2 linked regions of the Ovis aries genome follow. The protein of the gene in region 2 interacts with the protein of the main gene of each other region in a biochemical or structural test. Links are inferred from orthologs where the notes say so. Each region holds a gene or a part of one and is shown on either strand. Other genes may lie near its edges.

Region 1 (4,253 bases), on a different chromosome or scaffold from region 2:
AAAGCTGGGTGTTTTGTTTTTTTTTCTTTTCAAAACCATGTGACTGACAATAGAATTAACACAAAGTTAACTACCAGACTGAAGAATATAAATCAGCCAACAGGCTTTTTTGGTAATACAGTATTCGCATTAAATGTTTGGCATAATCTAGACCAAATACTCTCAATCATGCTAATGTTAGGAACAGATGTTGACAATTTATATATACTCCATAATCTTAGAAAAACCACTAAAAGCTGAGAGGATCAATGAATTAGTTAAGAAATTAGAATGAACAGAGAGGAAAGTAGTGTTCTCTCTTTACCTTACATACTTGACTCAGCACAGGTGATAAAACCCCTCAGAAATGAAAACATGCTAGAGTTCAATCTAAAGCAGAAAAATATTTAACTGAGAAGGCCTGAATAGAAAATATACATAATTTATCTTTACCTTAAAAACATGCTTTAAATATTCTAGCAATTTTTTAAAAGGTGTAAAGTAATCATTAGGCATATCTCCGGTGATTCACATATTTAAATAATGAAAATTGCCTTCTACCTAGCTTTTACTGAAATGCAGTGAACCCTACATGTACAGAGGGAGCTTCCCAGGTTCCCAGTTGGTGAAGAATCTGCTTGCCAATACAGGACACACAAGAGATGTGGGCTCGATCCCTGGGTGGGGAAGATCCCCTCGAGGAGGAAGTGGCAATCCACTCCAGTATTCTTGCTTGGAAAATTTCATGGACAGAGGAGCCTGGTGGGCTGCAGTCAATCAGGTCGCAATGAGCCGGACATGGCTGACCATATATGCACTCTACGTGTACATATAAAAGGTGCCCTAAATGTTCACTGTGGAATAGTCATTAGTCAGTACTGATTTTAAGTCCCATTCAGTAGCATACATTCTCATTTTGGTATCCAGTTCCAGGTCTCAAGAATACGCAAACCCTCAAAGCCCTTTAAAAGTACTGCACCTTGACAATTAGAAAAATCAGGTAGGAGATTCATTTCTTTATCCGGAAGGCAGAAAGTCCAGAGGAAGAGACCAAGTCAAAGATTTCCTAACAACTTTTGCTATTTTAAGCACTTCTTTCCATGTAAAATTCCCTAAAAAATCTGCGATATTAAAATAACTCTGAGATTAACAAGCGACTTTATACTCCTGTTATTGGATGTCAGAGAAGTTATTCACTTGGCTTATTTCTGAATTAACTCTTACATGATTTCCCTGTTCATATCCCCTCTGTAGGACTTACATGAATGTCCTAAACTTACCTTTAGTGCATTTTCAAAGGCGGCAACAAAATACAGATGCTTAAATTTCCATCTAACAAATTCTCTATAAGGGTTTCAAAATGAGAAATCTTATGAAAAGTGCCAAAATAAAACCCGACATTCTAAACACACCAAAACATTCTTTTGCTTTTAAATTCCTGAGAGTCAAATGATTGATAAGATATTGCATAAAGTTTTGTAAGTACTAGAAAATCTGAAATATACCAAATATGATTTATCTTTTTATAAGAGTTTCATAGCCCTTACAACATCTGTCACACAGAAACACACAAAAGCCCAAAGAGTTAATTATACATAAGTGCTTCAGGAGAGTATTGCTTTCATATCATCCACATTATTAAGGTACACAGATTCACTTTTTGCTATAGGAAAAAACATCACGTTATTTTCTGAAACTCACAAATTCGAAGCTATTACTGAAACCTTCCTTCACGAACTCTTGTGAGGTAACTCAAAAGATATTCTGATGGAGGTAGACGAATGATAGCAAAGAAGAGGGGAAAACAGAAAATTGTGGTTTAATTAAAAAGCAGAGTCATCCAGAATTAACAAGCAATTAATAAGGAATTGGGGAATTCCTATGAGAATAAGAGGGGCTGGGGGAGCTACAAAAAGGTCTCAAAGTCTCTGAGGAGGGTAAATGGTGGAGCGTACCAAAAGATAAATGCAACACATGGAAACACTGTTCAGAGGGAAAGGCGGAAAACAAGGTCCTGGGAAAGAGAAGTTATTAAAATGTTAAAGACTGGGGCACGGGCGGCGTTTTTGTTTTTGCTGTAAAGCTAGAAGCCAGGAAAGGGATGCATTGCCAGGTAACTATTCAGAAAAGAAAGCACCGATTAATGAGGTAGGGGCCAGGAATAAACAATGGGGGAGGGGAGGGCTGGCTCTTTACCTTGACGGTGGAAGCTGGTCAGAGCTCTGCGGCTGCTCAGGCGGGTGGGCAGACCCTCTCCTGCCGTCGCTCGCCCCCCAGCCAGCTCACACCTGGAAATCAGAGACCCGTGAGCGGGGCAGAGCCCCGGGGCCCCGTCCTCCCCGGCCCCGGGGCAGAGAGCGGGGCGGGCCAGCAGGAAGCGGCAGGCTTCCCCTCCGTCCCGGGCCGGCCCTTTCCCCTCAGCGGGGGTAACCGACTTTTACCTGTCTCCTCAGCTGCTGCCTCCCTTCCTTCTTCCAGCCGCCTCCACACTCACCAACTTCTCCATTGAGGAAACAGCCCGGGCAGGGCCGGACCCGGCTGTCCCTGCTCCTCCGCGGCGCCTCCCGGCCCCAGCCTGCCAGCATCCAGATGGCCCGGCCGGGCGGAGGCGGCGGCGGTGGCCGCCGGGCGGCCTGGGGCAGGGGTGCAGGGAGGAAGTCCCGGCGCGGGCGGGGGGCAGCCCCGGTCCGAGCGCTCGGGGCAGCAGGCTGCCGCGCTCCTGGCTGGGAGCGCCCGGCCACTGAGGGGCCCAGAAGGGCTCGGGGCGGCGACGGCCCAGCTCTCACGGAACCCGGAGTGCCGGCCGCCGGGGCGCCAGGCAGGGGGCTTTCGGGATGCACTTTGCACCGGGCCACCCCCGCCCCCTCCCTCCAGCACTTTGGGGTCACTGGGATGGGACCTAGCCCTCAGCAGCCAATCAGCGGCCACACTGGAGCCGGAGCCCGGAGCCGTAAACCAGGTCTGAGGTGGGTGGGGGGGGGGGGGGTGGGGGCGACTTGGTTGGTTGGTTGCTTCCTTCTCTCCTCCTTACCCCAGCGGCCCCCACCCCTTGCCTGCCGTAAAGCGGCCTGCGTATTCGCGACAGTTAGAGGAGGCGTGCCGAGCGAGGCTAGGAGTCGCTTCTGATTGGCCACATTCACTCCCCCACCTCCACCTCGCGGCACCCGACGCTCCGCCCCTGGCGGAGGGACTCCATGCGGTTGCTAAGAAACACTATATACCGAACAGGACCTCTGCGCATGCGGGAGAAGGCAGCGCCTTGTACTTTCTGTGAACTACGGTGGCCCGGAAGGGGCTGGCGCTTGCTCGAACGGCAATGCGGAGGCGGCGTGGCTTGGGGCGGATCTCCAGCAGGTAACTGGAAGAGGTCGCTACGCTCGGCGACGGGAGAAGCGGCTGTGTGGCCGTTGAGAGGCTGTTTTCGGGGCTTAGGACTGAGCAGGTGTCAGTCCCCAGGAAGCGAGGGGAGGCTCTCCTCGTCCCGCCGCCCTCGGTGCTTTTCGGACGCGAGCGCCGGCTCCTAGGCTGCGCTCCAGGGCCTGAGGTGCCGTTAGCTCCCGGCTGGGCACGCCTCGCCTCACGCGGAAGAGGACGCTGTGGCTTGGCGGTGACGCTTCCAGGGCTTTCCTGCGAGGACAGCGGCCCTTGAGAATTCCTGCGAATGAAAGGGAAAAGAGTGGAAAATGTAGGAGATGGCCGTGTTTATTAAGTGCGTTTTTTCACTTACCAGGTATTTACCCTAAACTAGTCAGTGTCCTAGCCGTCAGGGAGACAACAGCGATCAAGATATATGTAATCCTTTGCCCTCGTGGAGCTTTCGCTTTAGCAAAGAGACTGACAGATAGGAAATTATTTACCAGATAGGGATGGGGTCGAGCTTGGCTTGGACGTGATGGCTCTTTGTGCTAGGAAGGGTCTCTGAAGAAGTGATATTTGACTCGCCATCTGAGTGAGGAAGACTCAGCCATGCCAAGATCTGGGGCGGGGGGAGCGAATTTTGCAGGCAGAGACATCAAAGTCCAAAGTCTCTGACTGGAATAATCTTTGCCGTTGCTAGGGACTGCAAGAAAGAAGGCCAGCTAGTCAAGCAGGGAAACTGATTGATAATGAAGTTGGTTGTGGGAGTGGAGGGTGTACGACAGGCTTCAGATCTTGCAGGACTTTGTAGCAGGTGGTCGGGAGGATCTATTTATGTTTTGAAAAGATCACTGGCTGCTCAGTGGAGAAGACTGTAGCTGAGAGTAAGGTTACTGCAGATGTGAAACACTGTTGTG
Region 2 (4,481 bases):
ATGTGCCTGGGAGGGAGTGTGATTTCTTCATTAATTGATCTCTTCATTATTTATCCAAAATCTTTAATACGTATTCATACATATCATTTTGGGGTTGACCTGAGAGGGTCACATATTTCCCAGATTAGAGGCCTTTATGCTGAGTGAAGAATTCTTGTGCCTGGAATCTACATTTTCTGCTTTCGTTGTCATTCTGATGGAAAAGAAAGTAGATCCATTGCTTATTTCTCTACAACAGCTTTCAAAATCATAATTTGGTGATAGAAAATTGGAGATGAGTTTCCTTAGGAGGAATTAACTCCCAACTTTCTAAAACTGCTTCCTTCACTTACCTGAAGATGGGTGAAGAATTTCCTTACTCAGGCTGCTCCTAGGGGAAGAAGAAAGGCAGTTAATTAACAGCTTCTTTCCCTCTGATCTCCACTTTGCCACAACCTGCCTAGAGAGAAGGAAGCTACTGGCTTTGGTTTTCTTACCTCCAAAGAGTCTGAACCCTGCAAGCAACTAAATTTCCACCTTCACCAGGAACCCAAGGCAAAAGAGGCAGTCCTCTTGTCTCAGCTCTTTCTCACATAAACTTGCAAGTTCTGGGTCTCCCCATCCTTTCCCTTTATCACACTACTAAACTCCAAGGCTCCTTCCTTCCTGTGGCATTTATTACAATAACATCTCACTCTTGCAAACCTCACCACCTCAACTTTACAGCTAAACTCTGAGAAGTAAACAAAAAGTAGCCAAAATAGTGGTCATAAACTCTGGAGACTGGACATTCAGGCTCTTTGTTAATGGGAGAACTCTTTAACCATCTTTTGGGGACTTTTAATTTCAAAATTTTTAAATATTTCTGAGAAGCTCTATTAACGGATGGCCCAGTCTATTCACAGGCAACCCTTGGAAGCAACAAAGAAAATCCCTAACAAGTAGGCTTAAACTTTTTACAACACAGCTTTTAATTTAGAGGAAGCCAGTTACAAATATTACCCTCAAAAGCGCTTAAGGCACACGGTATAAAACTCGATATTCATAATTATTCTTGCAATGGCAGCCCACTCCAGTACTCTTGCCTGGCAAATCCCACGGACAGAGGAGCCTGGTAGGCTGCAGTCCATGGGGTCACTAAGAGTTGGACACGACTGAGCGACTTCACTTTCACTTTTCACTTTCATGCATTGGAGAAGGAAATGGCAACCCACTTCAGTGTTCTTGCCTGGAGAATTCCAGGGACGGGGGAGCCCAGTGGGCTGCCGTCTATGGGGTCGCACAGAGTAGGACACGACTGAAGTGACTTGGCAGCAGCAGCAACCATGTACTGAAAGCGCCTTCACTTTCACTGTTCCTTTCTTGCACTGGAGAAGGAAATGGCAAACTACTCCAGTGTTCTTGCCTGGAGAATCCCAGGGACGGGGGACCCTGATGGGCTGCTGTCTGTGGGGTCGCACAGAGTCGGACACGACTGAAGCGACTTAGCCCCAGCAGCAGCAGCAACCATGTACTGTGACGATCACAATCCTCTTAGATAAGCGAGATGTCAAATATAAGCTCAGAGAGGTCAAATGTACTCAATATTCTTATTAACAGGGGAGCCACGGTCGAATCTGAACCCAAATCTGCCTGTCTGAAAAGCTCATTGTTTTCTTCACACCGTGAATGGCTCAGGATCCGAATGTTTTTGCCCAAAAAGCCCGTGGAGATGCAATTCTTAGAGAACCTCAATATACTTAAAATATAAATGTTTAGTTGCTTCCGTAAATTTGGAAAAATGTTAACTGAGGGATCGGCTCACACGGCGCTTCCGAAAGGACTGAGCCTAAGAAAACGAATTTCCCCAAGCAGAGCATTAATTTCACTGCTTAAAAGCTCAGCTCTGAGCCGATGGAGAAGGAGGGGGCGGAGAAGAGAGTGCGGCAGGGAACGAGGCCCTCGCTCATAGGACAGTTCCCTCGCGCGCCGCCGCGAGGTCCAGACTGCTGGAGGGAATCCAAGCAAAATTTCCCGGGCACGAGCGCGCGCTCGCGGCCTCCCCGCCTTGGCCCTCCGGATGGAGTCTTTCACAGAACGGCTTTCCTCTCTGCCCCACCTGCAGACTTCCGGCCGACTGCCCCTCCGCCGCCCCGCCTCAGGAGGGCGTGGGGATGCTGGCCTCCACCAATCATTGAGCGCGTGTGGGGGGAGTGGGTGGGACCAGAGAGATTCGAAAGGAGCCCCGCCCCCTCGGAGCTGATTCCCGGGACTAGGTTGTGGAAGGAAAGCACCTTCCACGGTAGGTGAGGCGGCTCGGAAACTGAAAACTGACGGTGGCCTGTAGAAGTGGTGTGGATGCGGTGCTGCGGGGAGTAGAAAGGTGGCTTGGGGAGAAGAAGAACCCGGAGGATGGTGGCGGGGAGGAAGATGGGGCGCAGAGACCGCTCCAGCGAGAGGAGGTTGGGTCGCAGAGGGGCGGGGGCCAGTGTGTGGAGGGAGATGGGAGTGCGGGACATTCTGCCCGTACATGCCCGAGTGGTAGCAGAGGAAGTTTACAGGGGCAAGTCCTACTGCGGGGACGCTTGCTTTACCTTCACGATTATTCCCAACCCTTGGCTTGCACCCGGAGTCTAGCTGGGAGGCCTTGAGCAGGATGGAGACGTGAGGAAAGGTGTTTTCTCTCCAGCTCAGGTGTCTAAGCTGACTCTTTCCTGCTGTCTGGAACATGGAAGATTTAGAAGAAGGTAAGGAAACGCTGGAGGGAAGAATGGGACCATGTTGGGGACCCAAAGCTGGCATTCCTTCTTTCCTCCCCTACAGACGTAAAGTTTATAGCGGATGAGACCTTGGACTTTGGGGGGCTGTCACCATCAGACAGGTAGTAGACTCTTTATCCTGTTTACTTTTTTCTCACAATGATTGTTTCTAACCCCTTACTGCTGAATTATTGGCCTCAGGTCTGGATTGGTAATTTAGCAAGGTTGGGTGCACTGGGGCTTCTGGGTGGCTGGGTGACTAGGGCCCTGTGTCACTGCTGGGGATGGGGCGAGTAATAAGCTGGAATGAGATTTCAGGGTGTTAAGAAGAAGGTAAGTGGATTTGTGGCATCTTCACCCCGGCATAATTTCCAATGTCAGTAAGCATAGAAGGCCTCGTAGAACCAGATGTTTCATCACTTAGATCTCACGGCCAGTATGGGCTTCAGGGTTTGCATTTGTGTTCTTGGCTCTGCTGTGGGGGTTTTGCCCAGTCCCCCTTGCAGTCTTCTCCTGTGGGCGTGATGCCTGCTTTGTTTTCTGTCTCAGTCGAGAGGAAGAAGATGTAGCAGTGTTGGTGACTCCGGAGAAACCCCTCCGACGAGGCCTCTCCCATCGAAGTGACCCAAATGCAGTGGCCCCCACCCCCCCGGGTCTGAGGCTCAGCTTAGGCCCCCTCAGTCCAGAGAAGCTGGAAGAAATCCTCCATGAAGCCAACCGGCTGGCAGCTCAGCTGGAGCAGTGTGCCCTGCAGGAGCGGGAGAACACAGGCGAGAGCTCAGGGCCTCGAAGGGTGAAGCCCAGCCCTCGGCGGGAGACCTTTGTGCTCAAGGACAGTCCTGTCCGAGACCTGCTGCCCACCGTGAGCTCTTTGGCTCGGAGCACCCCCTCTCCAAGCAGCCTGACACCCCGACTCCGGAGCAGCGATAGGAAGGGGTCCGTCAGGGCTCTTCGAGCAACATCTGGAAAGAAGCCCTCCAGCGTGAAGAGGGTGAGTTGAGAGGGCTTGGCTTAGATGTGTGCCTCCGACACTGTGCATGACCCAGTACAGGCATTTTCCTTGTTGGTAAGATGGAGATAGTCAAATTCTACCTTGTAGAATTGTTGGAATTAAACAAGGTGCCATAAGCAAGGCACGTACCACAGCATCTGTGTATAAGCTCTGTAATAAGCTCTCAATAAATGGCGTTGGTGGTGACGCTGCTGTTGTTGGCAGCTAACTTCTGCCCTTCTTCCTGGGATCTACAAAACTCTCCACCTCTGTCCCTGAGTCAGCCAGCAGAACAGATTCTTTTTCCACTTTAGTCCTTTTTCTCCCTCTGTGTGTTTCAGGAGTCGCCCACGTGCAATCTGTTCCCTGCCTCCAAAAGCCCAGCATCTTCCCCTCTTGCCCGATCAACTCCTCCGGTCCGGGCAAAAGCCGGGCCCAGTGGGAGAGCGACAGCAAGTGAGAAGACCTGGGCAGTGAAGCTGTGGGTGGGTGGGGTGTAGGGAGTGGGAAGGATGTGGTGCAAACCCTGAAATTCCTCCACCCCTCTCACCAGGTCCACCTACCCCCGTCACACCAGTCTTGGCCCCACAGCCTCCTGCCGGCAACTCTCAGCGCCTGTCTCGGCCCCAGGGAGCAGCTGCTAAACCTTCCAGTCGACTGCCTGTTCCCTCGGCCGTTCCCAGGCCTGGCAACAGGATGCCACTCGCCAGCCGGAGTGTCCCATCCAGCAAAGGCGCCCCTCCTTCAGATTCCCTGTCAGCTCGGAAAGGACT

What was found.
Region 1: of the proteins of PSRC1 (region 2) and ASB7, one has a biochemical effect on the other in vitro, tested with the Homo sapiens proteins (2 studies listed by BioGRID, with this or other methods). The link is inferred for Ovis aries from reciprocal best matches to the Homo sapiens genes PSRC1 and ASB7.

What each region holds. Positions count from the first base shown.
Region 1 is NC_056071.1:5,429,312-5,433,564, forward strand, and holds the start of ASB7 (ankyrin repeat and SOCS box protein 7), read right to left. Parts: upstream 2,825-4,253; 5' UTR 2,421-2,824; intron 2,268-2,420; 5' UTR 2,176-2,267; intron 1-2,175. Other genes in the region: LINS1 (protein Lines homolog 1), read left to right, coding at 3,174-3,333. UniProt on the Homo sapiens protein: Probable substrate-recognition component of a SCF-like ECS (Elongin-Cullin-SOCS-box protein) E3 ubiquitin-protein ligase complex which mediates the ubiquitination and subsequent proteasomal degradation of target proteins.
Region 2 is NC_056054.1:86,559,113-86,563,593, reverse strand, and holds the start of PSRC1 (proline/serine-rich coiled-coil protein 1), read left to right. Parts: upstream 1-1,672; 5' UTR 1,673-1,872; coding exon 1,873-2,260; exon of another isoform or gene 2,261-2,341; intron 2,342-2,647; coding exon 2,648-2,705; intron 2,706-2,781; coding exon of another isoform or gene 2,782-2,839; intron 2,840-3,266; coding exon 3,267-3,708; intron 3,709-4,049; coding exon 4,050-4,164; intron 4,165-4,261; coding exon 4,262-4,481. UniProt on the Homo sapiens protein: Required for normal progression through mitosis. Required for normal congress of chromosomes at the metaphase plate, and for normal rate of chromosomal segregation during anaphase. Plays a role in the regulation of mitotic spindle dynamics.